3 linked regions of the Lonchura striata genome follow. The protein of the gene in region 2 purifies or fractionates together with the protein of the main gene of each other region. This does not show direct contact. Links are inferred from orthologs where the notes say so. Each region holds a gene or a part of one and is shown on either strand. Other genes may lie near its edges. The genes, in order: IMMT, MTX2 and CHCHD6.

What was found.
Region 1: the proteins of MTX2 (region 2) and IMMT purify together in Homo sapiens (co-immunoprecipitation; 5 studies listed by BioGRID and IntAct, counting the BioPlex papers as one, with this or other methods). This does not show direct contact. The link is inferred for Lonchura striata from reciprocal best matches to the Homo sapiens genes MTX2 and IMMT.
Region 3: the proteins of MTX2 (region 2) and CHCHD6 purify together in Homo sapiens (co-immunoprecipitation; 3 studies listed by BioGRID and IntAct, counting the BioPlex papers as one, with this or other methods). This does not show direct contact. The link is inferred for Lonchura striata from reciprocal best matches to the Homo sapiens genes MTX2 and CHCHD6.

Annotation. Positions count from the first base shown.
Region 1 is NC_134606.1:6,065,704-6,076,290, reverse strand, and holds the start of IMMT (MICOS complex subunit MIC60), read right to left. Parts: upstream 4,355-10,587; 5' UTR 4,289-4,354; coding exon 4,244-4,288; intron 1-4,243. Other genes in the region: MRPL35 (large ribosomal subunit protein bL35m), read left to right, coding at 6,014-6,203, 6,310-6,460, 7,918-8,062, 8,300-8,488. UniProt on the Homo sapiens protein: Component of the MICOS complex, a large protein complex of the mitochondrial inner membrane that plays crucial roles in the maintenance of crista junctions, inner membrane architecture, and formation of contact sites to the outer membrane.
Region 2 is NC_134610.1:22,181,286-22,192,326, reverse strand, and holds the start of MTX2 (metaxin-2), read right to left. Parts: upstream 4,456-11,041; 5' UTR 4,364-4,455; coding exon 4,324-4,363; intron 1-4,323. UniProt on the Homo sapiens protein: Involved in transport of proteins into the mitochondrion.
Region 3 is NC_134614.1:13,508,624-13,519,480, reverse strand, and holds the start of CHCHD6 (MICOS complex subunit MIC25), read right to left. Parts: upstream 4,145-10,857; 5' UTR 4,048-4,144; coding exon 3,958-4,047; intron 2,367-3,957; coding exon 2,237-2,366; intron 1,316-2,236; coding exon 1,261-1,315; intron 12-1,260; coding exon 1-11. Other genes in the region: TPRA1 (transmembrane protein adipocyte-associated 1), read right to left, coding at 8,282-8,516, 9,594-9,674, 10,292-10,394. UniProt on the Homo sapiens protein: Component of the MICOS complex, a large protein complex of the mitochondrial inner membrane that plays crucial roles in the maintenance of crista junctions, inner membrane architecture, and formation of contact sites to the outer membrane.

The sequences.
Region 1 (10,587 bases), on a different chromosome or scaffold from region 2:
ACATCAGATTATAATATAAATTAAATTAGTATATGAAGAGTGATATTTTATTATATTCTACTTAACAATATCCACATTACCAAGATTTTTATCTTCTCTGAAGGACTGGTTAAGCTACTCTAAGCTTAGAGAAAAAAACACACTGTTGGCCTCAGAGGTTTTTTCTCCACATGGGAATTACTAACAGGGAAATACAGGACTCATGAGAAATCCAAGCACAAGGCACAAAAAGAACTTTTCCCACAGCTGAGGTATTTTGCCCAAGAGGGAATTTTTTCTTTAAAAAAGAAAAAAACTGGGAGATGTTTTACTACAACATAACCCCAAAAGACAAGTTTCTCTATTTCCTTTTGCACATGGCAATAACATGCACAACTCTTGTGGTTTAGGTCCTATCCCTGTCCAAGAGCACAGACAGGAAAAGGCAGGAACACTGCATTCTTATTCTTTCCACAAAGGCAGCCAAAACATTTTTAATTAGCAGCAGGAGCACATGTACAGCAAGAGGAAGCATGCTCTTCTTGCCCCTGAGACCTCCAGGAGCCCTCCCTGTGGGTGGTTTTCTGGATTGTGATGGACAGAAAGGGCAACAAAATAATAAATATATTCTGTAGTATTTTTGATTTTCTGACTTGACTGGCCCAGGAGCATTTCCTGAAGCGTCAACGGTCCTTTCAAGGGGAATTTCACTAATAAAAGCCTCGCAAATAATTTTGTTACCAATTTTTGAACATAACAAAACTTGACTCTCAGTATGTCCCCATTACACCATGAAGCACAGGAGGAGCAAATAATCCAGTATTATGCATACAACGCAATCCAATAAAATGAGAAAAGACCCTGATTTTCTATGCATCAATTCAGACTGAAATTCCAGTCCCTTCCAACACTTTAGGATTAAGTATTTTGCTGGTGCTCCCCTGGAAATAAGCCATCACTTCTGAGCTCCTGGCCAGGCTTTCTGGAGGTGATCCCACCCTGCACCACTGTCACTCCCACATCCTTGCTCGGGCTGGACTTGCCCTCTGGACCAGCTCAGCCCTGTCCCTGTTGGCTAAAACCCCTACTCACACCTGGTGATGGCAAACAACACTGGACCCATGTGGCTCCACACCTTCAGCAAACATCAGTCCCTGCCCTCAGGATCAGGCTGTGCTCAGGGAATCACCAAGACAGAGAACACCTGCTTCTCTTAGCTCAGCATTTATGCTTTATACAACCAAGAGGGGTTTTTTGGAGGGATTACTGATTTTAGTCCAGATGATCTTTAGAGATCTCTTCCAAGCTGGACTGTTCTAGAATTAGCCAAATGCTCACTTCTATTTATTTTTCATCAAGATGAGAGGAACCAAAACACAGGCCCTCCATCTCTGGCACTGGGACTCTCACACAGGTAGCAGTAATTAAACCCAAAACAAGCCCTCACCAACTCCATCTTTCAAGTCACTGCAACAAATTTCCACAGCTGGCCAGTGAAGCAGCAAATGAAAATCTGTAGGTACCCACGTTTTATGAACAGAAGCCCAGTTTTTTCCTCCCTCACATCCAGATACACTAAGACCTCCAAAAATCACTGATTTTTTAAAACATCATTTTTAAAGAAGTATTGCTCTCTCTTGGCCACCATAATAATATTACTTTTATTTGCTGTACCACCATAATATGGAGATTATCAGGTAGTTTCTAATCTCCCCTTTGCAAAATTTCCAGGACTTTGTAAATTTTCAGACCCCTGTCATCTATTTGTAATAATGCCTCAAAGAATTTTGGAGAAATTAATCACATGTGCTTTGCTGTGCCCTTCAAAAGGCAGAAACAAACCACTTTCTGTCCTGCAGAAGACAGCAAATTCTTTGGATGAGGCAGCATGGACGCAGCAAGGATGCCTACAGCAAGGGCACTGTAGGGCAGCTGTTTCTACTTCTTCCTCCTCCTCCTCCAGCAGCTCTAAATTATATCTGTTTCATTCAACTTCTTAAATACCTATTATCTTGCATTCATTACCTACTATTTAATCACCACAAGAGTCACTCTGCAGGGCACATCACACCTTTACTCTGGTTAATGAGTCCCAGTGATTTAAGGACATTTAAGGATATCCATGTGAGCTCACTCTGGCACAGCGCTCAGAGCAAGAACAGCATGGCAGAACTTCATTAAACAAATTAAATTTGCCTTGCAGGTTTATACTTTATGTGTAACTTCAAATAACCATGGCCAGGACACATCATCCTCTGCTCATTCAGTTCCAGCTCAACCTCTCTGAGGCTCAAGCATCCTGATCCAGAATTTCTGTAATGTGGGATTTGTGCACTTCAACAGAAAGAGCTAACCAGAAGCTTCAGAGAAGTTTTTCTTCATTAAGACAGAGACCAGGTACAACAAGAACATCTGACCACAGAACTCCAATTTTCCATCATTCAAGACTTCTGCCAAATATCACATACTTTTACTAAAAGCCCTGCTTATTTTCACAACAAACTTCAAAGATACTACAAGAGCAAAATCTCTCTGCAGCACTGCACATGTAAGCAGAAAACATTTCTGAAAGTGATGAAGATCCCCTTCTCTCAAATCCTCTTCAATTTACTTGTTACAAGTTTAGTGATGCTCCACATACAGAGCTCACAATAGGAAAGAATGAATAAAGAGCTGACAGAAAGAATAAAAGTAGGAAAAATGAATAACAGGAAAGAGGGAAAGAAAGAATGAATGAAGTTTTCCCAGTCTCCACCACAAGCTCCCTGGTACAGATAAAAATCTTCAGAGAGTGCTGTGGCATGTCTGTGTTTGCACAGTTCTCATGGATAAATGCTCCCCTGTGAGGGTGGTGTGGTGTTGTCCAGAGAATCTGTGGATGTCCTGTCCCTGGAAATGTCCATGTCCAGGCTGGACAGAGCTGGCAGTAACCTGGGATAGTGGAAGGTGTCCCAGCCCAAGGCAGGGAGTTTGGAATGAGAAAGTCTTAAGGTCCTTTCCAATCCAAACCATTCTGTGACTCTTCCACCAAATATTTATAGCCTGATGACCAACTTCCAGCTGCAAAGCACCACCCTGGCTGCTCTGGAGCTGTACAGTCATTCCAGACACATTCTGCTAAAGGCTGAGCACAATGCAAATAGGCGCAAGTGATAAATATCTGCCAAAGCCTGGTTTCTGTCTTCTCAACTTCCAGATGAAACTTTCCACAGGCAGGCAAACCCAGAGCGGGCATCAGGTGACCAAAGGACTCTCCAGCCCTGCAGAGCAGCAGAGGAAATGAAGCTGCTGCAGTAGGAAAGGCTGGAGCTTTAGAGGGAAGAACCTACAGCTACTCCTTTGCTAAATCGTGTGAACACAGGGTAGTGAACGCTGGGATGGAAAGCAGGACACAAAAGTGATCTAATCAGCTTATTTCTTATCAGCCAGCTGAAATACAACTTGGAGCCTCGGTAAAGGAGTCGCCCGCACCTATAAATCCCTGTGGCTTCCTAAAGTTGGCTTACTGCTTTAAAAAGGCTCCAGAGCACACCACCGTTCTTATCTCTGCTGATAAGCAGAGGCAAAGGTCCAGGGTAAAAAGCACGAGTCCCACAGGCATTTCTGCCCTGGGCATCGCGAGTTGTGTCCCACCGTGGGGACAGAAGGATCCCCTTGCACACGAGCGCTGACACCACTCGTGTCACACCCCGGGGCCGGTCCGACCCTCGTGGCGGCCGGGCGCGCCGGGGAAGGCAAGGTCACGTCCTTCCCGCCGGGGAGCGCGCCCGCCGCCCGTCCGCGCGGGGCCGGCGGGCCGTGCGCGTCCCCACCGAGCCCCCCCGGCCCCCGGGCTGCGCCCGCGGCTCCCGGCGCTGCCCCGGGGTGCGGGCCGGGAGCGGCGGAGCGGAGCTGCGGGCCCGGCGCGGCCATGGCGGCCGAGACTACAGCCCCCAGCAAGCAACGCTGCTCCCCGCCATCCCGCTAAGGACTAACACTCCCGCCGTGCCTTGCGGCGGCGCCGCATCCAGTCCCGCGCTGCCCTGCCGCGGTGCACGCTGGGACTGGTAGTACATAGCAACGAGCAGCGCCCGCCCCCCCGCCTCCGCTGGCGGTCGCGGCCGTCCGTCAGAGGCTGCGCGGCCAATCGCGGCCCGCGCGTGCGGAGTCATTCAGCGCGCGCCGAGCCGCGGTCACAGGGACTGCCCCGCTCCGCAGGCCTGGCCCGGCCGCACCGCTGATCACAGAGGGAGCGGGTCGCGGTGCTCCCCCGGGGAAAGCTCACCTGCTTGGCCGCGGCGAGCCCCGCTCGGCGGCACGCCCGCAGCATGGCGCGGCCCGCGGGAAGGCGCCGTGCGCGGGTCCTGCCGGCGCCGCCTCCGTTCCCCCCCTTCGGCGGCCACTGCGCCTGCGCGGGCGCTCCCGCCCCGCCAGGGGGCGGCCGCGCGTGACGGGTCTCGCGTGGCCAATGGGAGGGCGGGCACGGGCCGCGCGACGCCGGCGGGGCGGGGCCCGCGCGCGCTCCCGGGACTGTCGGGGACAGAATAAAATAAAATTAAATTAAATGAAAATGACAGAATGGGTCAGGTGGGATGGGGGCAAAGTCGGTCCAAAGCGCAGCACGCGGCACAGGACTGCAGCCAGACAGCGCTGGAATGTCCCTGTGGGAACTCAAAATGTCTCTCAGACATTTTTAGAGGTTCCAAGCCTTGGTCAGAAGCATTCTAAACCCTAGCAGACAACTGAAAAACAACTGTGATTTTGAGTTTAAGCCATGGAATGAATTACCAACTTTAGAGGTAGAACAAGCAGTCACAAAAGGTTAGATAGTATAGTAAAAGTAGTTACAAAGTAGAAGGAAAATTTTTTTAGTACTATACAGGGGGGTTTTAACACATGTACAGGAGGGTTTTCACTTTATACATAGGGGTCAAAAGTTCTAAGATGGAGGAAAGTAGGCTAAACCCATCCTTCTTCCTTCTTCTTCCTTACCTCCATGTTCTTAGTAATGTTGGCACTCACAGATTGGTTTAAAGTAGAAAAACACTTGGTAACGTAGGTAGTAGGTATTGGAAAATAATTGTAAACATGTTATACATAATATATCTTATAAAAGATAGCAGCAACCCTAGGCGGAGAGAAAAACGAAAAAAACAGCAGATAGAAAGGATGTCAAGGTGTGTGTGTGCCTCTACCCAAGCCGCTGATCAAATAGCTACAGTCCAAGAACATAATCTGTTAGATAACTAGCAATAAACTGCCTTAAGACCAAACAGCTAAGCCTGCGGAGTTTTTCTTTGAAAACACGGGTTAGAGGAGGAATTTCACCACCACATGTGGCCCCAAAACAAGGCTGGGGTTCTCACATGTCCCCAGTGAGGGAGGCTCCACACGGCGTCTGGGGAGTGCCCCAGCGCGCGGTCACTGCGCTGCGGAGTTACTCCGCGTGTTCCGGTGACACTTGGGGCACCCGCCTCTGCCCGTTCCCTCCTACCCTACCGAGCAGAGCCGCTCCCTGCTCCGAGCGCCGACCGTGTACGAAGAATTTCGGATACTAACGGGTATGGACGAGGTCTCCTCTCAGCTCTCCCCGAGGCTGCTCAGCCTTGGGAGAGAGACGCTCCCGTCCCCCAGTCTGAGTGTAACGCGGCACATTCTAAAGCATTTATCAACAATTTACAGCTGTAACCTTTCACAGCTCGCTCATAAACCTTCTCTCGCTCAGAGCACTCAGAAGCCATTTTTATCTCATCCTTCAACCAGTCCGGCCAGGCTTCTGAAGATAAAAAAGTGAGAATAAACCAGTAAAAAAGAAAAAAAAGTGAGAATAAACCAGTAAAAACACTGAGCTAAATCCACCTGGCGCGTTTCCAGGGCACTTTAGTGGCTTCAACGGTGTGTGCCGGTCACTAAAGGTGACGGGAGCGCGGGGGAAGGAGCGGGGCGGACGAGGAGGACTCTGGGGGTGTGAGGGATGCCGGCTCGGGTGCGGGATACCCTCGGGCGAGCGACCCCGGCTCCGCTGCGGGATCCCGGTTCGGGGGCGGGATCCCGAATGCGGGGCGGATCCCGGTTGGGGTGCGGGATCCCGAATGCGGGGCGGATCCCGGTTGGGGTGCGGGATCCCGAATGCGGGGCGGATCCCGGCCCCGCGGCGGCCGCAGTCCCCGTGGGCGGGACGCGGCGCGGCCCCGCCCGGCGCAGCGTGGCCATGGCGGCGGCGGCGGCGCGCGGGGCCCTGGCGGGTCGGTACCGGGGCGGGGTCGGGGTCGGTACCGGGGCGGTGTCGGTGTCGGGGCCGGGGCTGTCTGGCTGGGACGTTTGTGCTGAGGCTCTCCCGTGTCCCCACAGGGATCCTGCGGCGCTGTATCCCCCGAGCGCTGCCGCTCGGCGGCCCCTCCGCCCGGTGCGCGGGGCACGGACCGGCCCCGGCCCCGCTCTGGACCCCGCGGGTGCTCAGCGAGAACCGGCCCCGCGCAGGGACACGCTCGGTGCTCAGCAGGTGCGGCTTCTCCCGCGCTAAAAACCCTTAAAAGGGGTTTCAGATATATATGGGGGAGTTTCTCTCTATATAGCTTATATATATGTACCTAATATACATCTTTATTTGTATACTTTTCATGTTTTAGATGTATTATGTTGTTTCAGATAAATCGAAATAATTTTAAATACTATACATTTCGAGTATATGTATATATATATAACTATATATAACGATATACATTCCTAAATGTATTTATGTATAAATATGTTTTATATTAAAATAGATTTATTCATAAATACATTTAGGAATATATCTTTTATTCACTACTTATGTGCAATATACTGTGAATGTATTATGTATCCTATAACACATACAATTTATAATCATGTGTATTAATATTGTGTTGTTAGTATAGTCTATGTTATATGTCATAATATAATATGCAGTATTATATAATTATGTAGTATTATATGCAATACATGTTATATAATATAGTGTAATATGCAATATGTGTAGTGTATATGTTGAAATTTCTCCATATATATATATATGAATATTGTAGAATCATAGGTTGGAAAAGAACTCTAAGATCATCAAGTCCAACCCTTAACCCAGCACTAAATCATGTCCTCAAGTGCCACATCTGCACAGGTTTTACATTCGTCCAGGGATGGTGACTTGTCCATTGCCCTTGGCAGCCTGTTCAGGACTTGACAGCTCCTTCTGTGAAGAAAGTTTTCCTTAGAGTCAATCCAAACCTCCCCTGGCAAAAATTTCTCTTGTCCTGTTGTTCATTTCTTGGGAAAAGAGACTGACCCCATTACCCTTTTGTGTATATATATATATATATATATATATATATATATAAAATACATACAGAGATTATATAGATAGACAGACATACAAACACATGTATTATATATAAACTTCAGTCTGACACTCTTGGGCACCTTTGCAGTGGGTGTGTGTCTAGCCCCAGAGCCTCCCACTTCAGTCACCATTAATGCTTGAAGCAGGGGTTAAATTAGGATATTCTTTGCAGCTATATTTTACACTTAATCTTGCAATCACTACTGATTCTCTTGCTTCTGATGGATTTTGGACTAGATGGTTTACGAGGTCCCTTCCAACTCAAACTATTTTGTGATTAATATTATAAAAGTAATTTCTGAATCCAAGTAACAGCTGAATATTGGCTTCTGAGTGTTTGACTGCTTTTAGTAGATAAAAAAAAAGGTTCTCTGTGTGGAATAATAAGTTTGAGCTGAATTTTGACAAGAGTCCAGCCTTGACATTGGTATTCTGCACCCATTGGGTGCTGTGCTGTAATATTAGAGTCATTTTTACCCTTCAAACAAGCCACAGCTCTGCTGATCTCTCTGTGTGAGATAAAGGCAGTGATTTCTTTTAGAAAAAGGTGTTTCATTACTGTTCTGATTCCCTCTCCGTTTTTGGGTTGGTTTGTTTTTTTTTAGTGTCACACCTCTACTTCCAAGTTTACTCCAGCAGCCAGTGAGGACCCTCACCTACTGCAGCGCACGGAAGGGAAAGAGGAAAAGTGTGAAATCTGTGGTCAAGAGGTTCCTCCGGCTGCACAACGGCCTCTGGGTTAGGAGAATGGTGAGATTTTTTAGATAATGAGAGCCTGTTCTTTACAGTCAGAATAAAGTGAAATTGTTTTCCTTCACTTGGAGGGCAGTGGCTGGTGTGGAAGTTAGACAAGCTCTGTAGAGAGACTCCCATTTTCCTGAAAGAGGAGGGATTTATCCAGGTTTGCTGAGCAGTGTGGCTGTGTTTGTGTATTTGCAGTGACCTGCTAAGAAAGGGGATTTTTCTGTGTGTGTTTTCTCCTAACAGTCAGGTTATAAGAAGAGGCTGTGGAAGAAATCAGCTGCCCAGAAGAAGCGTTTGAGGGAGTTGGTGTTGTGCACGAGGACACAGTGTAAGCTCCTGGATAAAATGACCACTTCCTTCTGGAAAAGAAGGAACTGGTACGTTGATGACCCCTACCAGAAGTACCACGACCGCACGAATCTCCGTGTGTAGAAATCTTGGGTTTGCACATCTCTGGGAAAGGGGCAGCAGTCCTGTGGCATGGTCTGGGTTTTGGACCATACATCTGTGGTTTTTTAAATAAACATGTACGTATCGTCTGAGCAGAGTTATGAGAATCAATGCCCACAATAAAGGAATACTCAAATTTATCTTCATCTGCTGTTTGTTTTACTTAGCAGAGGTCAGGTTGGTCACCCACACATTCTGATGTCTGGTGGTTTCCTGTGATTGCTTGTCATGGAGGAATACACTAAACAGCACTAAAAGTGAATAATTCAACATACTTAATCCTATTTTTTTTAAATAAATATGTGTAAATAACCCCAGAATCTATTTTTCTGTATCCATACGAAGTGGTGGCTCACTGAATAGAGTCTTCTAGGGAACAGGATAAAAGAGACAGGGTCCATCTTAGCATTTTTGCCTCTCACAATAACACACTATTGCCTTGTGTCCATGCTAGGAAGTGTAGGGGAAAAAAAAACCCAAACCAGAGTTTCATAGCTACGTGCTGGTTTTATAACTGATTTTAAAATGTATTGGCCACCAGCTTTCATTACAGGACTCACGTTTTGTGCCCTCTGTTGGTTTTTGAGTAGTAGAATCTATTCTCTGTGTCCTGCACAGCATCCTCAAGCAGATAAGTCAGAGTAATTTCTTGTTTATTTTTCCTTTAAGTCTGAATAGACTTCATACTGCACATTCCTGGTCACACATAACTGGAACAAACCCAAGGATTTATTGTGGGGTCTGTTTGGAGTGAGCAGATCAACTAGACCCTGGTTTTGCTAAGGGTTGGATCAGATATTTTCTCTACAAAGCTGATATTCCAGAAAGTGTATGAAAGCAATACTTTAAAGCATTCCAGGATAACCAATTTTTGAGCAGACAGTCCCTGGTTATCAGTCCCAGAGCTGCCTGTATAGCAGAGGTGGTTTGCTGTACAAGGCTGTAGCATTGCAATGAATTCACTAGTTACTCAGTGTTCAGTAGCTGTATTTTGTTCTTTTTCCAGTTCATGATACAGAAAGTTCTGAAGGACATGCAGCACTTAGTGAATACATCTATATACAGTCAGCCAGAATTCAGATAAAAATAATACAGCAATCAAAGTGATTATTCTGGCCTGCCAGATACATTGAACAGACTAAAGATGTTTGGGTTTGTTTTTTGTTCTTTTTTTTTTAAATAAAGAAAAGATTAAGACTTTATTCAAGATGTATATCAAGCAGTATAACAAAACCAGCAAAACATCAACCTTTGGAATACTGTTGTAATGGCCGTCCTTGTGAGGCATCAAGTGTACCATGGTATCACAGAACTTTTCTACCCATCACAGGAAAGAAATCACACCAAGTGCACAATTATGAGCCTTAAATAGTTTGTCTAAACGCAAATCCCAACGTGTTCTCTGCTAGTTCAAATGTGCTGGATGCAAAACAGGTGCCTGAAACAGCAAAAGGGAGACTGTGGGTGAGGAGCACAAGGGTTCATCACAACACGAGGACTCGCCAGCAGCCAGAGGCAGCAGGTTGTTTACAGGAGGAGCATCGTCTCCAAGCAGCTTTCTCCCTCCTAGCAGGAATAAATTGCCTGATTCTCTTCCCTTCTGTGCTGGGTTTGCACTTCTACAAGGTTTTTAGGTTGATTCATTCCAGGGTGACAGGGACACATGTGAAGTCTGTCTTGTTTTTGATGTGATCCTGATTCAGCAGTTGGTGACTGCTGGAGCTGCACTGATGCTGATCCCTATGGCAGGAGAGGAGGCACAGATGGGTGCACTTGGCTGCTCCAGGCTTATGAGTTTATGGTAAATTGGGGAGGTCATTCCCAGGCCTGTTTACCACAGACCATCTCCAGCTGCAGTTTCCCTCCCCTCAGCCTCAATTTTATGTGCTTAAAATAATGCATGTTTCACTGGAGCCTTGGGATGGGTAAAGGCTGTTTCCTAGGGCTGGCCTGTTCTCTTCAGAGTTCAGAGTTCTCTCAGCCCTCTCTGAGACACCGGAGGTGCCTGCCTGCCCTACAGGACTGATAGTAGTAGGCTTTTCAGGCAGTTGGCCCCAAAACGGGGCGTTTTAAACTAAGCC
Region 2 (11,041 bases):
TGTCCTCACCATGGCTTGCATGCAGCTGCAGTTTCTCACTCACTTTCAAAAGAGACAGCTGAAAATGCCCAGCAGCGTACAACATATGATGCCTCTTCAACTAGAGCAAAAAACAGCAACCAAGCTCTTGCATTTATTCTTGTTTTGAAAATAAAGGTGATTCACCTGATCCTGTTCTCTATAGGAACAGACCAGGTTAATGCCTGAGGGCAGTCCAAGAATAGAGCATCCAAAGACCAGAGAGAAAAAAAGGAGTGAGAAAGAGAAGGAAAATCTGATTGCTCTCCAAAGTTGTTCTGACTATTTGCTATTTTTTTTCTATGACCTCTTGAGCTGAGGCTCCAAAACATCACTCTCATCCAAACCACTCGTCATGGTTTCATCAGCCAATGAAAGTCTACTTGAAATTCAAACTGAACAATATCAAAATAGGTGCTACATTTGGTTTACTAATTTTGATACCATTATTTCTAGAGCAATCTCATTTATGGAATGAGAAAAGAAGACACTTTAGCAGAAAACATGTAACAATAAAATGCTGATTAGAGAAAGGCTGCTTAGTCTTAATGGAGACAGAAACAATTATAGAAGCATGCTTTATTATAAACTGTAATTATGCTGCTGCTTAAAAACAAGGAATAACAATATTTCAAAATGAAATATGTACTATACTACAATAATTGTGAAAGTAATGTTTTCCCTGACCCAAAAATATAGACTGGATAAGCAATCCACTCAAAGGATTGGTCTAAACCAAGTCATGAAACATGTCTGAGCATAAATTGGCAGGAGTGACATAAAAAACTTGCTTATTGAAACTGAACAGGACTTAAAAGAGATTCCTTTCAGCTTGATTACCAAATGAAAAGCACACATGTAAAAAACACTGTTTGTCATGTAGTCTGACAAATTTGGTATTTTCAAATAAACTTTAATTTTTCATTACAAGAACTTCTGCAGCAGGTTTAAACAATCTCTGCTGCCAACAACCTATTTTAAGCAAGAATAGCTTAATTTTTTTTTCACCTCACACATGGAGGAAGTACTAACATTTACCTATGCGCATTTTGATGCAAAAAATGCATACTCAGTTTAAATATCATGTCTTTATGTATGGGAACAATTTAGGTGGTCAGGTTTTGTTCCAAATGAATTTTTTCTCACTCAGATTGAAGCCTGTCTCAATACATAAAACATGCATGTCAAAGATTTATTTGTACTCCAGCATGCCACACTGGAGGCAGACTCACTATGAACATAAAATACCTTAAGGCAGAAAGGCACCTGCTTTTCACACTGCATTCATTTCCCTTAGTATTAAAACCAGCCTAAGACTCTTGGACATAACAGCAATAAACAGAAGTAGTTTTCCAGAGATCAAAGGACAAGCAACAATAATTATTTTCCCTCTTTTGATCACTGACCTAAAACTAATGTATTTTGGGGGGGGAAATAAAGCATATTGAGTAATTTAGTGATCAATTAAATGTATGTTCAACAATCATTTAGAGATTATTTGAGCAGTCAGCTTCTCAAAACTACTAGAGTTAGAAAGATTAATGTTGTAGACCACTTGAAAGCTGGCACTCTAATTCTTCTTACAGTATAAACATTCATTTCCTATCCCGTTAATATGTGATTGATGCCAAGCTATTCTAAATAAATTCTCTATCATATTATTCAATTAATAATTTCTACAGTTTAGAAATGGATGATTTAAACTGTGATGCTTCTTTTTTATGAATGCTTGCAACTCATGAAGCTATGGAAATATTTATTATTCCTTGAGACATAGTATCAACTTCTTCATATTCCTGAATGAGCAAATGGCTGAATGCCACTAATGCAAGCATTACACTCCACACAGGTGATTCAGTCTCAGCCTTGTGTTTAATCACTGACGCGTTAGAGCAGCAGGCTGTGCCCAGCGTGGTCAGGTAAATCATGTTGCTCAGGGAGGATGCTGAATTACTGCAGCACTGCAAGCAGGCTGAGAACTGATGGGCACAGAACCACTGAGGCTGGAAGGCACTTCTTGGATGTCCACAGCAAGCCACAGCAGGTTGCCCATCTCCACTCTCCTCCAGGGACGGAGACTCCACAACTGCACTGAGCAATCTGCTCCAATGTTAAATCATCCTCACACTGAAAAGTTTTCTTACATTCAGATGGTGTTTTCTGTATTTCAGTTTGTGCTGAGATGGTGAAAGTGAATGCACAAGGCACAGGCAAAGTGAAAATACGTAAATCCAAATACACACACAAAAAGTTGGTGTAAAAGGAAGTTCTGATCTTCTTCTCCACTAAAACCTTCTCCTAAGGTTTTAAAACATTTCTAGAAAACAAATTATGCTGAGCTAATTGTCTTAAATACTTGTATGTAAGGACCCATGCATTACAGCTGTTATATGTTAAGAGCAGCAGCAGCTGGTTGCAACTGCTATGACAAAAGGACATCTTCATGAACAGGAACCCAATGAAAATTCAATAAAATTTCATTTTTAAGAACATGGAAAAAATTCTCAGTCATTCACAACCAGAGATACAGGATAAGATGCTATTAAAACAAGTGTCATTGTAAAGCAGTATTCTTTCCTTGCAGATACACCATTTTTCTTCCTCACAAATACTCCTAGATCTGGGGGATATTTATATCTTCTTAGTACCAGAATTAAATACTCCCTATGTCTGTGTTAACATCGCAGGAAATCCAGATGTATGATGGCTATTTGCCAAGATCCTGGTTAGCCTTCTTTAAATTTGAAAAATCTTTGAACAAATTGAGCAATGTTGCCATTACTTACTTTCAATCTGGACGCGGTGCCTAACACAGACAAGCTACAAAGGTCATGACCCACTGGCAAAGGTATCTTTTATTTTTAAGGCAGATAACTGCTTTTAAAACTGTGAAACAACAGCTTTTATAGTAACACAGCAATGAGACGCCTACATACACTATGCTTTTGAAGTTGTATTTGTAATTCGAGAAATAATAAGTATTATCAAGCTGCCACTCTAGAATATTCATAAAGGTCGCAGAGCAGACAGGAGAATCAAGATTCAGTCATGTACACCATTATCCTTGTATTTCACAATATAAATAAAATATACTAAAGAGATCATAAAGGCAAGTAAATACCCTATTCTCCACATCCCAAGGACCAGGGCTCTGGCCCTCAGTACATAAGTGCGGGTTGTGCTAACATCTATGTATGAGCAATTGCCAACTCAACAGGCTAGCACAACTTTCAGGCTTATCTATGGGAACCTCAACAGACCCAGACTGAAGACCCACCACCTTTATATGACCTACAAGTCAGGGTACACTCATTTTTGAGAATCCAGCTCAGATTCTTAATTTGAGGCCTTTACCAAGTGGCAGAAGACCCAACTGTTGAGACAAACCTCTAGCATCCTCCTAAACAGGTCAGTATTTATCAACACGCTGCTTAGCAGCAAAAATTCCAGAACAGGGAATAAGAAAGGAGAAATTAACCAAGGCACTTATTTTAAGCATGCAACACTCTAACTGGGCTTTGAACTTCCTAGCCAGGCACTATCTAAGGTTCATGCTTTGGTTTTCTCCTTAAGAGCATATTATTATAATTTTTTGCTGAATAGCTCCACAGTGACGCACACACTTTGGTTTTATCCCAAGGTCACGTTCAGCACAGACGGCGCCGCTGCAGCGGCTCCCGGGAGCACGGACAGGGAGCAAAGGTCCCGTCAGACGCCCGAGCCTCCCCGCGGGGACACAGGGGACGGAGGGGACACAGGGACACAGGGGACACAGGGGACGGAGGGGACACAGAGGACACAGGGGACGGAGGGGACACAGGGGACACAGGGGACACAGGGACACAGGGGACACAGGGGACGGAGGGGACACAGGGACACAGGGGACACAGGGACACAGGGGACACAGCGCGCCGCCGCGGGGCGCGGGCCGGGCACAACGCCGCACCGAGCTCTCCCACGCAGCGGGGCTCAACGCCAGCCGCCACAATTATACACATGACGCGGTTTCTTGGACCACTGAAGAAAATGAAGTGTCAAAGAAGAAGTTATTACACGAAAGTAGCGACACGGCCCCGGCACAGCCGCGGTTAGGAGCCCGCAGAAGGGACCCGGTGGCCGCGCGGAGGAGCCGTGCGGAGGGACCTGTCCCCGACCCGGGCCGGGCTCCGCACGGCACCGCGGCCGCCCCCAGCCTGCCTCAGCGCCCTCCCCGCGGCGCCGCGGCCCCATCCGAGGGTCACCCCGGGGACTGAGGCCGCGGCACTGAGGCACAGCCCCGGCGTCCCGCCCGCCCCCGCCCCTCACCGGCCAGCTGAGTCACGAAGGCCTCGGCCACCAGCGACATGTCGCGGAGCGCGGCGGGCCGCGGCACGCACAGGAACTGGGCGCCGCGCCGCCGGCGGGGAGCGACTGCATCCGGGGCCGGGGCGGGGCCCCGCGGCTCCCCCGCCCGCGGGCGCAGCGCCGGGGCCCGCGGGGCCTGCGCGCCCGGCGCTGCCGCCGGAGCCGCGGGGATGCTCCGCGGGGAGTTTCCGAGCGGCCCGGCCTGGGAGCGACAGTCACTCCCTCCGTTAGCCCAGCCTGAGGGCAAACCCCGGGAACTGCCAGCGGGGCACCGCCTGCTCAGCCTCTGCCCCGGGGCACGAGGGAGCGGAGCTCCGAAATGCTTCCCGAAGCGTCTCGGGGCAGTAGGTTGGAACTGAAGGGTACAGCTGCCTTGTCTTCCTCCCAGTTGGGAGTCTTAATTCCAGAAGACAAACTGCTTTTTGGAACGTACACCTTGCCTTTAAGCAACCATAAATTTCTTGGTCTCAATTCGAGAATATAAAGCCTACCTAAGTGTTGGAAAATGCTATAAAATTATATACCCGGTATTTTGATTGCAGAGAAGATAAAGGATACGTGGATTACTTGTTTCATTATCTTGCAGTCCCTTTTGAGCCTCATTTCTTTAGCCACACTTTAATAAGAATTAGATTATCTCATTTTATCAAGTATTACTTACTCTACTGTGAAGAACGGCACAACATTTCAGTCTTGTAAAATCTTAAATATTTTATGTACAGAGGACATGGGATATAAGCATGTATTAATGTTTCTAAAGTATGTGAAACTCCTCTGGTGGCACTTACTATTGAATCATTCTTCACATGAATATATTGAATATATTCTTCACATGATAGTGGAAGCATGCTATTAGAGCAGTAGCAAAAGCAGAAGAGTCAGTAGATACATTGGAACAATGGTCTGAGGACTTAAAATAGTAAATAAGAGAACTGAATATTTTTAAGTGCTGATTAAAGCTTTGTTTCTAATTACAGCTGTAAGTTGAATAGCATTGAAATTACAGAAATTCTGAGCAGTCTTGAGAAGCTGAGTGGCTTTGCACTAAGAGATTGCAAGAGTCTAAATTAAGCTGGTTTGTGCTGTTTGAATCCTTTCATCATCAACAGTACTTAGAAGGCTAAAAACACAAGCCATGGGACAAAAGGCTGAGCTTGAACTAGGAATAAACTAGGCCAAATCCATATATTAGCAGCCAGTTTAAAAAATTATGTTTCTTTGTAGAGCTTGGTTTGATACAAAGATGTAATATGCAGAAATGGAGGCAGATGATGCAAAATAAATCCCTGATTTCAGTGCAGAGAAGGATGGGTTTTCAAGGGAAACTGAAAGCAGAATTACACTGTCCCTTGGGCTTTGCATTTCAGAAGGTCAGCCCTCAATGAAGGGTGCTTACACGGGCACACCAAAGAGATGGAGTTCAGTTTTCTTGTAGCCCATCTTTCCACTGTAAGGTATTAGTTGCTAGGGTTAAACTGACTGCAGGTGAAACAGGACTAGGACACATACACACATACATTACATTTGAAATAGTATGGAACTTGAATAGGATTCATATTCTGCCTAGGAAAAAACATCTGTTTATATTCGTTCCCTTAATATTATTTAGACAGCTTTTAACATCTCTTTTTCTCTGTTAATATTTTACAAAATGCATGGCTAACAATAGTGCATACCTTTATCTGTAGAATGAATTCTTTGTGGATATAATTGCTAGGAATACTTTACAAAAGGAATTGTGAGATTACAACAAAAGACTTTTCTCGTGCATTTTTTCAAGCTGTTTGCTTTGTAACACTATTGTTGGCCATTCAAATTGCAGTCTAGCTAGCCATATGGATGACAGTAGATAAGATTAAACGAATCACCAGAAAATTAAGGCATTTAAATTAGTTTCTCAAAAACTGAGAACACTGCTAGGTGTCATGTGCAGTTCTCAAGTTCATGAAGCACATTTTGGGCTAAGTCCAGTTTAAGGTTGACACAAGAGTATTGTACCAGTCCAACACTGATTGCAAATATTCCTCTTCAAAAAACTTGGGATGGTAGAGGACGCTGCAGAGTTGATCTGTGTTGCAGTATAACATTTCTTCATCCCAGGACAGCAAGCTCAGGGCACATGCTGCTCAGCAGACCTCATCAGAGCACTTTCTCAGTGCACAGCTGGGTATGTCTGCCTAAAACACTGCTCTGCATTTCCACGGAGCAGGTCTCTAACAAGTTAGGCCTTTCCAAGACACAGGAGGAATGCTGACAGTCACAGATTCAATTAGCAATGGTTCTGTCAAAGAGAACTGTGCAGAAATCTTGCACATGGGTGAAGTGTCTGAAGACTCCTTGTGTGGTACAGCTGGATTTTTGAGAAAAGGCCAAGAAGTAGAGAGCCATGGGGGAAAAAAACAGCACTGAAATGCCTTCTCCTTGCCTGACCCACAGTCAGGCTGCCCCTCTCATGTAATTTAGGGCATCCTAGGGGCTGCCAGGCATTATGGTGCCTGTCAGTGTCTTTAAAGAGCTATTATGGCTGCTGGAAATCACCACAATGAAGGAAGACTTGAGTAAGTCCTTCCCTGCCAACACATCCAGTGCCAGGCAGCAGCAGGAGGGTGTTTTTAGCATGACTTCATGCCAGAGGTTCTCTGTACACTAAATACCTGGCAAAGTACACAGACCAACAGAAACAGATGAATGTAGACTAGCATGGTCAAATGGATCTAATAGGACATTTGGTATACTTTTAAGGCAAGTGTTTGCCTATCAGCCATTTCATGCAATCCACTGTTCAGCGTGAGGAATGGTGCCAAAACTACTCAAGCATGAGCCAAGTTGCAAATTTTTCAGTTACACACACAGTCCTGTGAGTTTACTAAAGAAATACCATTATATGGAACCTGAATTCAAAATTGAGGCCAAACACAACTCTGAAGCTCCAATGCACTTCCTTGAAAAGTTGGTGTATATGTTTTGTGGTAGTGTCCTTGATGGAGTAAGAAATAAATTTGGGTTTATGAAAGTTCAGGTGTACCTTACAATCAATTTTCATACTAAAATGAATTGCCTGCTGCTGACAGTATTCTCTTATTTGCATAATCAGGTAGGCTCAAAAGGGTTTAATTGCTGTGTAAACAAGATAAGGTATGATTTCTAGGAACATATGTCTATAAAAATACATATATATACATACTGTACTAACATTAATCACTTCACACTTAAGCATTCTTAATTCTAAATGAAAAAATGCTGATTAATTTTCCAGCAACCTACATGAAGATAGAAAGGGTTTATTAGAGTTTTAAGAGATACCAGAATAGCATTTCTGAAAGCAAACAGGGAATCACAAACTGTATGAATGCCATTAGATTAATCATTTTCTTCTCCTTTTCTCACCTCCTTTTCTGCATTCTTTTATTCAGCAGGGTGAGATTTTCAGGGGTACCAGGCCTACTTTAGCACATCTGTCATTCCTGCAGCTGCACTGAGCAGACATCAAAGCAGCTGTTCAGAAACCCAAATTTCACTATTTTATTTACTGAAGGTGTTACCAGCCCCCAGGCTCTTGCATATCCCTGTCATTCCCAGCAGCTGCTGAGGAATCTTGCTCTGTGCTCTGAAATAACTAAGTCAGACCCTGATCTTCCCAGCTTTACCTGAGTTTTCCCAGAAGGGCTCTGCAGGTGGGCAGGACATAGCCTCTACAGCCCATCCCAGTGCCCTCAGCCCAGGCCAGGCACTTCCACAAGGACAGGGACATCAGCTCATAGGTCAGACTCTGAATACGGAGGAGCCGTGGCCAGGCAAAGAGGGCAATGGCCTGGACTGAGCTCTGAATAGATCCACTGGGCCACTGGAGCAGAGGCTGTCCCAGCTGGGGCCCAGGGCCGTGACAGTGTCTCAGCTGCCCATGGAGCTTATTTCTCCATGCAAATGGTGGATTTAGGGCAACAGGCTTCACACAGTTTATGCTTCATGGGATCAGGATTTGACTTTTAAACAAAATCTCAGATCAGAGGGACCTGCAAGCAGGAGCTTCCAGAAGGAACACAACAGATTTGTCCTGGTTTCCCTGTCTGTGCTACTGCACAGTCCACCCTGTCTTCCTCTACTCTTCCTGCCAAACTCTGCCTTTGGTTTCCTTGGATCCAACCTGTGTTAACAGGCTGCTTCCATACTTGTCTATCACTTTTTTAATCCCTAGTTGACCAGACACCAACAAGTCTTTTTTTAAAATTATGGATCTGACCTGCATTGTCAAATAGCACAAATGTCAACACAGCAATCATGACTCTAGCTTGCAGTAGCAATGTCTGTAAAGGTTCATCCTGATATTTGTATAGCTCATACTGTAGCAAAATCTAGATCCATCTTGTTAATGAAAATAAGAATGATGATTCACAGTTTGACTGTAGGCACTGGTTAGGCAAGTCTTCTCAAACCCTACAGATGTTATCTGGAAAATTAAGGAGTTGCAATTGAATTCAATTTCTGGACAATCATGGTAAATACTGAGGAGGTTTATTAATTCATCAAAGCTCCTTGTGAGAGGGTCTAAATCCTTTTCTGGAGGCCAGCATAGAAAGAAGGTACTTTCTCCTTCTTATTGTAGAAATTATCAAAACTGCCCACCCTGCATGGAGGGAAGAGGCAGCTGTACTGAAATATTTATCTGCAACATGCTGTAAGAGGGATGTGCTGTGAATTATTGTAGACCTGGGCAGGAAATGGTTGACTTGTCCCTAAAGATTTTTGAGATTAGGAATGTGTCGCCATTCCACACCAGGATAAAACCAAAACCCTTTACATAATTTAAGAAAGGGAGAGGGACCAAAACCCACCTACAAAACCCTCTCATCAGTCTATGTATGGAACTCTTTGAACACCTGAGAAGAAAGTTTAGTAGAGAATTCATCAGATCCAAGCCATCCCATTCAACCTCCACATCCCTGGGGAGTGCTTTATGGAGACCAACATGCAGGAGCAGGGACATGAGCCTTGCTGATCTTGCATGAATGTTGTCTCTGCTGAGCCAGGATGGGGCTTAACTCTTGGCTTTTCATGCTGTTCATTTCACTTCAGCAGAAGAATTGTGACTGGTTCTGCCTGATTACTTAGTCCTTATAGAAGCAACCCATTGTTCATACTGGCTTTTCCTTTTTTACAGCTAAATGCTGCAGAGCTGCATTTTATAAAATTTTTACCTCTAGATGGGAAATAACCTATTTTTAAAAGCTTACATGGAAATTACTTTATTTTCTGAATAATTTCTCCCATGTATGTCATAAATAAGAAGTTTTCTCTAGTGGGGTTTGTTGTTTTTTTCCCAACACCTCCAGTTTAGACATATAGCCTGATCATCAGAGTGCTATTCTGTATTTTTAAGGGAGGCAGGGAACTGATTCTGTAGATGCAATATAGCAGAAACTTCAGAAGTTGAATTTATTCCATCTAAAATCATTGTCTTGTTCCATAAAAGGAACAAGAAAAGCTTTGCCATATCTTCATTACAGCTGTAGAAGTTCATACTTGACATAGTTTCTCCCCAGGGTACAACTGTGGTAAGGAAAAAAATTATGCTGACTGAGATAACTTGAATGTATCTACATTAGAAACACATGGCCTTTCTGGTTGTAGCTATCAGTTGGTGAGGCTGGAAACCTCCTGAGATTCATGAGGAGATGTGGCAGATCAGATTGATTCTTTTCCTGGCACCAGGAGAAGGATGTGAGAAAAGCACCAGGTGTTTTCTTTGGTCTTTGTAGAGACAGAGCAAACAGAAATAAAAAATTATGCAGCAATGATTTCAGAGCATTTTGCAAATAAGATGCACTTTTAATATTTCTGAGCACTGGGACATGGAAAAGGAATGCCTGGTTGAGAAATATTTTGAGCCACGTGAGCCGTGTTCAGTTTACATAAGTGTGCAGAGAGCACAGGCTAGCTAAATTTCAGCTTAATCCAGCTGACTTCCAGCCTAGTCCAGCTAACAGCCATGTGTATGAATGATGTTCCAAATCCCTTACTTCCTCTCAGCTCCCTGGAGGCTGGCAAAAGTTACAGGAGTAATGTTGCTAGCATCTGAAACCCTCTTAGTCAGATGTTTTAGAACTAAATGTGCTTAGTTAAATTAATTCTAGTATAGAAGACTTAGAGTGATGAGTCAGATGGCCAGTCTGCCTGAACTATCAGTAGAGTTAGATGCAAAGAAGACCAATGCAGAACAAGCCTTGAGACTGACAAATCCAGCAAATGTAAGTGATTGATGGTGACATTGCTTGTACATCATGTGGCCACTGGTGAGGCTCAGGCTGCAGCTGATGAAGACTTCAGGGCACAAATTGCAGGCTGGTAGTGACCACAGATCTGGGTGTCTCTGTCTGGATGTGACTGATGCCAACATCTAAATATGCCATCATACCATCATCTTTCTATTAAATAAGGAGAAATTCAAATTTAGGAAAAGTTTCTTCAGAAAAACAGGGCAAAGCCATGTTCTTTCAATTCTTGAAAGCATGGCCACCTGCCTCTGGGATGGGTGAGCTCTCTTGCAGGCCTTAGGTCACTGGTGGTGGAGACAACAGGACCACAGATGGATGGCACTGACAACCTGCAGACAGGATGTAAAGTTTTTATTCTTGTTTGGGTGTATCTTTATTTTTTTTCTTTCAAATTTATTCTAACATCA
Region 3 (10,857 bases), on a different chromosome or scaffold from region 2:
CTTCCACATACCTGTATGAGCATAAAAGAAGAGAGAAGGTCATCAGCAGACTTCTGGCAACATGGCTTGTCATGGAGTACCCCTGCTTAGAGCCAAAACACAAATCCAGAATCTATTTGACACAAAATCTGATCACAGTCCCATTATCAGCAGGAACTCAAAAGACCAACAAACTTTAAATATGACCTGGAATTCCAGTGAGGTACAGCTCTGGCAACAACAGCAGGCATAGCACCACATAAGCTTATAATTCTATTATATTTAGCTCTATTAAGTACTTAATTATCACCTGAAAAGAGTGAAAATAGGAAGCAGTTAGCCAGACAAATAGACATTGCTTTGGAAAAGATCAAGGGATATACAACAATAAAAGGAATCAGCCTGGCTGACAATGCTGCTCTTTGGCTCTTCCACAGGAAAGAAAAATCACACAAAATGTATGCAGCAACAGCACTGAGAGAAGCAGTCCTGAACCAAAAAAGGCTTCAAAGCCTCAGGTATTAAAACATAATCATAGAATAGAATCACAGAATTGTTAAGGTTGGAAAAGATCAAGTCCAACCATTAACCCTATGCCACCATGTTCACCACTAAACCACATCCCCAAGTGTCACATCCACAAGCTTTTTGAATACTTCCAAGAATGGTGATTCCATCACTTCCCTGGGCAGCTTGTTCCAATGCCTAACCACCTTTTCAGTGAAGAAATTTTCCCTCATACCCAACCTAAGCCTCCCCTGGCACAACTTGAGGCTGCTTCCTCCTGCCCTGTCACTTGTTACACTTGGGAGAAGAGACTGATCCCCAATCTGGCTACAATCTCCTTTCAGGTGGTGTAGATCCACGAGGTTCCCCCAAGTCTCCTTTTCTCCAGGCTAAACTCCCCCAGCTAGTCCCGAGCAGACCTGTGCTCCAGCCCCTTCCCCAGCTCCCCTGCCCTCCTCTGGACACACTCCAGCACCTCAATGTCTTTGTGCAGTGAGGAGCCCAAAACTGACCCAGGATTTGAGCTGTGGCCTCACCAGTGCCCAGTACAGGGGGACAATCACTGCCCTGGTCCTGCTGGCCACACTATTGCTGACACAGCCAGGATGCCACTGGCCTGCTTGGCCCCCTGGACACACCTGGGCTTGTGTTCAGCCACTATCAAATACACACCTATTATGCTCAGACTGAAGTAAAACACAGACATATGCATACATAGATATATTCCCAAATGAGTTAAACTCATTATTGTCTTTTTCAAGAGCTTCACCTCACCTCCTGTAGAGATCCTGCTCTGCAGCAGAGTCACTTGCCTTTGGTGGCTGAATTCCTAGAAAGGAGAAGAGAAACCTGTGACAACTAATAGTACTATAAATGTAGTCCTTCATCGCATCATAAATTGTTTTAGGATAATTTTTTATATTACTCATCAAGAGAAAAAAGAAAGGTCAAGAAAGTTAAGTTTGATGGATAGAGTTTGATTTTATGAAACAGACACACCAACAGCATCATTTTCAAACAGGCACACTGAATAAACCATGCTACAGAAAACTTCTATGTGAGGATATTAACTCCTGAAATCCTTATATATACTGAAATGTATATACACTGAGCATGATTGTAGACCTATTTTCCATTTCCTTCCTCTAGTTCCAGTAAGTCTTCCTCTTGACCTCCTTCTCTCCTTGTAATTAAAAGGGATTCCACAAGTGAAGATGAAATTGGCAGTTCAGGCCATCCATAAAGCTAGATATACATTCAGAAAAGACATAGGCTGACAGCAAACAAAACCCTAAAAGCAAACCCTAATGTCATTTTTGTCTGGATGCCTTAAACAAATCCACACTGCTGATATACATCACCAAAGTCTATTTGAGAACCAATAGAAATCAAATTGTTTTCTGACATGTAAAGAAAGACTTCACAAACCAAGTTTAAAGTTCAAAGTTCACAAACCACGTTGTCATCATCCACTCAGCCAGCTGTGCTTAGACAGGTTATCTTTCCCTATGAGCTTCTTTCCATAGAATAAAAAGCAGTACTTCCCTCACCCATGCACAATATACACAATATGCACAGCAGACAACAAGGCAGCTTGCCAGAAATTAAAAGCAAAATATTTCTGCCTTGTTTACTGCACGTTGATCTGAAATGCTAAAAATGCTCACAGAGTGATACAGACTAACCAAAGAGCTCCTCTCACAACGGGGCAGCACTGAAAACCACCAGCACCCTCTGTGACAGGCAGTACCTGTAGGTCTGGGTTTCCCTTCTGCAGCCAGTGAGGATGGAGCTGTGCCATTGGATGCACGGGGAGATCTCTGGTTGTCCCTTCTACTTTGAGAGGATCCTTTCATCCGGTTCACTACATCTTCAGTGAGCTGAAACACAGAACCAGCCAAGTCAGCTTTTCACTGCAGGCCTCCCCGTTTGTTACTTCCCATGATAGCACAGAAGCGCTCTCAGTTTCCTCACTGCAATTTCCCTCCAGTCCACGCAGTCAGCACTTGCATGTTGACTTTACATTTTTAAAAGCCATACCCTATCAGTAAGTGACAAAGTCTCCAATCTACTGCCTGACCCTAAAAGCTTCACTAGACAATCATTCACAAACACCAACAAAGGTGGAGACCATCCCTAAACAAGTCAATTCCTTGTATAGGGAAAAATTTACCAGAATTGGAAGGAAAGGAATTAAGCAGGTTTTAATCCATCTTTTCCTCTTCTTGCTCCATGTTTGCTAACCCAGCTCAGCATGGCAGCCATGCTGCAACCCACATGACAGACAACAGCCTCCCACCCACATAAGGCTACAAACACTTTTGCAACCTCAACTTCATTTTCACCCCCTGACTTGGGTTCAAACCCATGAAAAAGAAAGAAAAGTTAACTTAAAGTTTTCTGGCAATTCAGTCCAAAAGGCTTCTCACAGCACTGTTAAAATTTACCCCTTCCTCCTGCCAAGGTCAGAGGGTCTGGCTGCAGAACAAAACCAAATGAGGCTGTTCCCCACCTAGCTTGCCACAGTAGAAGACATATTTTCAGCTATACCACTACTACCCAACTTAATAGCATTTTTTGTACCATCAATTTACATTATTATCATGCCCAATTCCTAATTTTAAAGACACAAATCCTTGTCTATATCCTGTAAAGATAAAATAGGCAAAGACAATTTTACCTCCATTAAATACTTTAACAAGTATTTACAAACAAGATAGGCACAATCTTAGCTAACTTTTGTCAAATAATTAGTCAAAATGGGATGAAAAATAAGCAGCCACAACAACACTCTGAAAGTTCATTTCTGGCAGATTTTAGGGAGAAATCATATAAAAGGATCATGAAGCAAGAGCAATGAAAATTATAGTAGTAATAAAAAAAAAAGCCCAAAACTAACATGTAAAAAAAAAAAAAAATATATATATATATAAACGGGAAAAACTATTCCTTAACGGTAGCACCACCACTCTCTAGGGCTTATTTCCACAACACACACTTGTCAGTCTCCGACCGAAGGTGAAGAAGCAGTTCCCCGCTGTCCCTCCCGGAGCATCCCTGTGTGCAGGCTCTCGCCTCGCCCTGCTCACACAGCGGTGCTCTGCCCGGGCACCGTGAGCAAGGGCAGAGCTGTCTCCTGCTGGGAGCATCACGCTGCTTGCGCGGCACAAACGAGGTCACCGAGCAGCGAGGAGGGAACGAGGGCTGAGAGCAGAGCTTGGAAGTGAAAATAAAGAGCTGGCGTGCCCCAGCTCGACAGCAGCCATGCCCAGGCCCCCAGCCCTCTTTCTCACCACTCTCCCCATCACTTCTCCAACCCCCCACTCCTTCAGCCTTCCCGGTTCCACTCCCTTCGTCCCTGCTCCCCCACATCTTCCAGCGCTCCACCTCGCTCCCCCCACCGCCCGGCCGGAGCCCTGCGCAGCCCGGCTCCCTCCGCCCCCGGCCCCACGACACCCCCGGGCGCCTCACCCGGATGCCCTGCAGCACCCGGACGCGCTCCCGCTCATCCAGCCCGAAGGACACGCTCCTGCCGCTCTGGCTGCTCTCGCTGCCGCCCATGCCGCCCGGGGTCGCCCCGTCCTCGCCGCGCCCCTCTCCCGCACCGGCTGCCAGCAGCGCCTCTGCCCTGGCAGCGCCTGCCAATATACCCGCTCCCCATTGGCGGCGGCCGCGGGGCGGCCAATAGCGCGGCGCGGTGCTAGCGGCCGGGCGCGGTGCACGCTGGGGGATGTAGTTTTTTCCGCGAGCGGGCGGCCCGCCCGGTGCCGGGGATGCGCAGGGCAGAGAGGCGGCTCCGGGGCAGCGGAGAGCGCCGCTCCTGTCCCGCTGAGCCCGCCCTCATGACCGCTCCTGTCCCGCTGAGCCCGCCCTCATGACCGCTCCTGTCCCGCTGAGCCCGCCCTCATGACCGCTCCTGTCCCGCTGAGCCCGCCCTCCTCGCCGCTCCTGTCCCGCTGAGCTCGCCCTCCACGCCGCCCTGGCAGTGAACGCGGCACCAAAACTGCCCGCACATCTTCCGCTGCTACACGTCCAAGGCACGGCGCTTTGCCAAGCTGAGGAAGGATGACCTCTCGTCAGGCACAGCAGCTGCGCTGGGAGCGGAATTCACCTTGCAGCAGCTCTGCTCCAGCCAGCGGGGCCGTCCCCTGCCCTGACACACACGGGCGGGTCCTGCACAGCTCAGGCCAGGCTGATACAGTCCCCGTTGCCAGGCATGGCTGAGCCAACAGCCAGAACAGAAGGAATGAGATAATGCAACACAGAGGCAGCTGAACCAAGAAATAACAGCTTTGGAGAATCTTTTTCAAACAAGCTTTCTGCATTCCCAGAAATATGGGCCAGTTGGTATCAATGTGCTACTTATCTACTCGGCCCACTACTCCTCAGTAGTGCATGGGAGCAGTTTTAAGTGTTTAATGCTTATTGCTCACTGCGGTTAATGTGGCAACCAGAGCTTTGCCTCAGTCGGACATGGGCCAATGTTCAGGGAGTATCTGTGAGTCTGCACCCCCTAAACCCCTCTGGATATCCAGGTCTCTTCTAGAGCACATTCCTGGAAGTAGGGAATATTTTTGTTAATTGTGCAGCACCTTGTATGCTGGAGTCAGCCCATTGCTCAAGCTCTCAAGACAAGGGCACTGCATTGTGCAGTGTGAGCTGCCTGCACCCCAGGAACACCCTCACCAGCCAGGCAAGAGCACAGGGGCGCCTGAAGCTCCCTCACCCACCTCCTGCTCATTTCATATCTGCCACCTGCCCACTTCATTTGATGGTACCCGGTTTTTGCACTGAAAGAGCCCAAGAACAGATAGTCCTTACTCACCTCTTCTGTCCTCTCCAAGGGTTTCACAGGCCTGCACCATTGCTCTTCCAGGCTGGTGAGTTCTCAACCATGTGATTACCCCTCCAGAAGTCTTTCCATAATTGTGATTACTCCTGTCATCCTTCCCTAAGCCTTTCCAGGTGTACACTCCCAGCCAGGTGGCAGACATCACCTGCAAAGATCCAGGAAGGCCAGCTGGCAAAGGCAAACAAAGCCACATCACACCTGTGCCCATGCCTTTCTGCCATTTTTTTTTAAATCTTCAAGTTACTTTTCCTCCCCAATATGTCTCATTTAAGAAATAAAGCATGGCCATTTATGCCAAACTTAATTTTATTTATTTTACAAACAAAAATATACATTTATTCTATACTTTCTTTTCACCACCCCCCACATGTAACACACTTTGCTCAAGAACCACTTTAAGATGGCCCAAAGCATTATATATACATAAATACATAACAGGAGGAAGGTCAGTCCATGACCTAGTGCAGAAGCTCCTCAGCAGCAGAACATGGAACATTCCAGAAATTCTGGAGTCCTGCCAGCAAAGGACAGGATGGATGTTGACAACCTGCACAGGTGATCCTTCAGCACTGAATTCAGATGGTAAAAAAAGGCAAATTCATAACAGGCTCTTCACATCACCAAGAAGGGCAGGTAATTCCTTTCACTTAGGGTGTTGAAAGTCAACAAATGGGTTGACTTGGGTTGGAAAAGCAGTTGCTCTTTTAGTTCTCAACTGCTTTGTAATCTTCATCTCTCTTGACTCTGTCCAAGGCCCAGGGAAGCTTTGAAGGCTCCCTCACCCTTTCTAACCAGCAGCTCAGGATCAGTGTTGTGAGCAGCACCGGGAGCAGCAGCACAGCAATTCAGGCATCACATCACCCATCCCTTTTACAGCAAGCAGCCCAGCGTGGCTCAGGCCGACTGACAGCAGTGACAGAGGAGCACGGAACACTTCTCTAACGTGACAAGGGCTGACTTGGCAAGATCCTTGTCCAGCCCTTGCAGTCATTGCACAAAATGGAAATGTGAAAGGCTGTGACCTACAAGAAACTACTCACTCCTAGTACACAGATAGATGGAAGTCTTTTTTCCCCAGAAGTAAATAAAAATAAAAAAGGGGGGTGAAGGGTTGGGTGGGTTGGAGCATTATTTGTTTTCAAGGTGCCAGTGCTACTTAGAGGCCTGTAGGGAATAGTACCCAGGCAGACAGAGAAGCTGCATTGCTCATAAACAAAATAAGATAAGCAAAGGCCTACATAGTTTTGGCAACCAATATGAACTGCACGTTCTTACCCATGTTTTCTTTCCCTGTGGTGGGAACATCTGGTAGCAAACACCATTCCCTACCTGCTAATGATCCAAACCAACACCTCTACACTGCACCTTGCTTACTCTTACCTCAGTATTCTTCAGGAACAGAGTAAGTTGGGGCAAGAGATTCACACAGTCCCCAAACACTGCAAGTTCCCTTTTTCTACCATCCCTAGTGGGAAGCTGCTTACACCAGATCTCCACCTATCTGGTGGACTGGGGTAGGAAAGCACCACCAAATCTAGAGGAATACTTCATCCTTGGAAAGCACAGGATATCCCAGAAACCAGACTGATGCAGCCTTCACGTGAACAGTCACTGGATTGGAACACCACGTCTTGAAACTGCATGCCAGACAGCTCAGACAATAGGAGTCCCTCTTCCAGCACGGAAGAGGTTAATAAGAAGTACCAGGAAGTCTTTAAAAGGACCACTCCCCACATGCACATAAGCATTTTCAACATACTGAGCCATAAAACTTACTGAGAGCAGCAGCAGTCTGGGGATCTGAACTGCAATGTAAGGGAAGGACACTGCCAGAGATACACATCCAGCTCCCACTCTTCTCCCACTGCAGCACACCAGCCAACTCAATTCTAGCACACCTAAGGTGTTTGAGTTTCCAGTCACTAAATTCTGACAGCTCAGACTCATCATAGGCTTCTGCTCTGCCTCAAGCACCTGAATGTCTCTGGAGCCTTCATCTGCAGAGTCACCTTCCTCCTTCACAGCACTCTCTGAGCCCCTGCCAAAGCCATGAAGCAGGGTGCAGATGGAAAACACACCTACCTCACAGGTTTTACTCTTGAAACTCATCCCTGATTCAGTGTTCTTACTTAGACTTTCCTTTGAGCTCAAATGCACAGCACTACAGCTTCCAGAGACTGGTTCACAGCTCCTTCAGCTCAGCTAGACAGCAGCACTGCTTGTCCTTCTGTCTCCCTACTGTTCAGTCACTTCACATCCCTGCCGTGAGCTACCAGCCTTCCCCAAATGTTCTCTGGGCACAGAGAACAGTTCATTCCTCTTCATACCTCTTTTCCCCATACACTGAGAACATTCCTTTTAACCACTAGCAATTCCAACTCACAATTTTCAACAGTGTTAGCTGAAACCAAGGGTGAGCCCCAGTGACCAGCTTCACTCATCAGACACTATCACCACCTGTGCTGTTGTATTATGGCAAGGTGCAGGCAGCCATGCCGCTTAGCCCAGGAAGATCATCTTTGGTTTCAACCACCAAAATCTTTCTATATATGTACAATATAGCAGTCAAATCAGCACCCTCATTCCTAAACATCATTGCTCTAAGTGAGAAACAAGTGCTTTCAGTCACTGAAAAGGAAGAGGTGCCAGCCAGGACTATCTTCTGGGTCATATTCACATCAGGAACGTGGAGGATCAGGAAAGTTCAGTGTTTAAAGGTTTATGAACAAAACCACTCTACACTGTTCTCATGTAGCAACAGAAAGCGTTCTTCCCAAAAGGGTTTGGGCTGCCAACTTAGTGCCACAATAGGTGTTGGAAATCCTAAGGACAAGAGGAAAGCCATGGCAGGTAGCCAAGGAGAGGTTTCCAGTGGACATCCGAACAGCTGTGGTATCAGGGAGTTTGGAAGAAAGGAGGAGCACATGTCTGAGGTGCCCTGCCTCAGGCATTGATGGATTTCCAGCGGTCACTGTCTATGCTGTTGATGCTGCCCACGTGGTATGGCATAGAGGCCACGTCGTCCAGGTAGGCTGTGGTGTCAATCTGAGTGCTCGAGTAGAACCCAGAATCCATTCCTTCCTTCTTGGCAACAGCGTAAGGGTGGGGTAGGTGCACATCCACATCCTCAGGTTCATCCACCTGGCATTTGTAGGAGAAAAGGATCTTCGGTTCAGACCTGGAGTGATGAAAGATTTAAAATCCATGTGTTACCAATGTCGTATCACAGCTACCTATCCTTAATTGAAACTCATCAGTGTTAAGAAATTGTACATTCATACCTCAAACACTCTTTAAATGAGCTTTTGGTCTACAAATTGGTGGCAGAGTAACTGCCATAAAGTAATGCTAAATTAAGCTTTGGAAGAAGTCACTTAAGAGAAATACAAATGGCAGAATCCTGACTCTGCTGTGGGAAAAGAGTTCTCATCTTCAGGAGCTTTGAATTACTGAGGGCAACAGCACCCAAACACTACTGAACTCCACAACAGCCTGGCTACTGACACAAAATGAGTCAGAACAGGAGTATACTTCAAGCTCTACCTATGCACATCATGAAAACCAAAATACAAACACTTGTAGATCAGCAGTTTTCATCTTGAACTCCAATGTTGCCTTCTAATTTCAAAGGGATGCAGAAGTACATTTTTATATTTTAAAAGCACTTTATCTTCTTAGTTATTTTAAAGCCTGCTATTTCTCACTAATGACCAACAAATACTAAAGCCTACACTGAACCACTCGTTTCCCACCAAGGTGCATTTCCCGCGAGTGGCCACACGGCGGCGCCCCCGGCCTGAGAATGGACCTTCCCAGGGCTTTTCACTAGTGGCGTTTGGGCCACGGGGGAGTCCTCGGCCGAAGAGTTACTAAACTCCCACATCCTTTCTACCAATCTACCCCAAACCTACTCAGAAGACCGTTTCAACTCCCAGGGCTCGATTCCTCATTAAGCATTTAGCTATCAACTTCAGCAGAAAAGCTTTGTACTACAGACAGTGCTGATGCTGAAGAAGTGATCCTCAGAAATGTGTGAGGAATACAGCCATCAGATCTGCTCTGCATGTAAAGGAGCCCTGCACAGAAGTGAGCAGCAACGGGTCACAGAAATTCTTCAACGGCAGAAATTAAGACTGGCTCTCTAACTGGCATTCTAGTTGCTGTCTTTATTGTACAGACTGAGAGAACCTGAGTGCAAAACACTTAAAAGACAATTTATATACATACATCTAAACTCATCTTCCTGGCTACTCACCCAAAGAAACCTTTCAGGAATGCCACATAGATGAGAGGTGCAAAGAAGCTGAAGTAAAGGAACGTGGTAGCATCAACACAGCTGTCAACAACAAAAGGGAACATGAAGGGATTTAGTATTCAAGAACAATACAGCTAAGGTAACACCACTTACATCCTCCCAAATGATCCAATTTTCCTCCAAAGTGTCCAAAGATTAAGAAACATCATGCTAAACAAATTTAAACTGATGCAAAGCAATAGCCATTGTCATCAACATATGTCACTGCTTCTAGACACTCAGGGGAACCATGCCAAAACCCAAGGTCTGACCAAGAGCAGTCTCAGTACTCCCAATTTTGACTCTCAAATGTGACACTGATCCCTGCAGAACAAGACTCCAGGTATAAGGGTGTCTCCATATTTCTAACAAATAGACAATCTCCTCTCTTATTACCTACTAATGGCCAGACATTGGTGGATTCACACTATTACTCTCACTCAGCACCTCAAAACAACTGCAGTACACACAGCTCCACAACCTCTCCACTGGGGAGTTTTCTGATTACTTAGGACTCTTTTGGCACAAACCAGAACCAACAGGTTTATTCCTTCTTAGGAACACAGCATAGGTTTGTTTTCTTGGGAGAGGCAGTGTTAAAGGACACTCAAAGAGAACACAAGATCCAGGCTGCAGACCACCTCCCCCAGTGTACCTACCACAATCCTTCTATGATATCCACACAGAGGAGGGCACTGCCCAGGCCCTGCACCAGGTTCAGCAGTGCCAGAATGCCAGCATAAATATAAAAACTCTTCCTGGCTGTGGGAAAGACATGGACACATGTGAAGCTCAACCTCAAACACCCATGGAAATCTGTTTGATGGAGATGCCAAATGCAACAGAAGCTTCTCACCACCTTGTCTCTAAGAACTGCTGAAGAATTAAGACTGCATTTTCCTGTCCCATGCTGGCAGAATTGATGGTGGTAAAATGGACTAAACCATACCCTCCTGCATGTGTATATGCATACTCAAGATGGGTTTGGAAGGCAAGGTTACAGCAACACATGCAAAGATTTGATTTGCAGGTGTCTGGAACCATTGTCAGTCACATAAATGAACACAAGAAAAACTAAACAAAAACAACCCAGCTGAACTAGAATCTGTGCCCTTCCAATGTACAGCACTAATAATACTGCTCAGGAGACCCCGAAAGGAGTAGCAGGGTGTGCTGGAGACCAGGCATATCAGGCCCAGGACCTGTGCCTGTGACATGTGACATA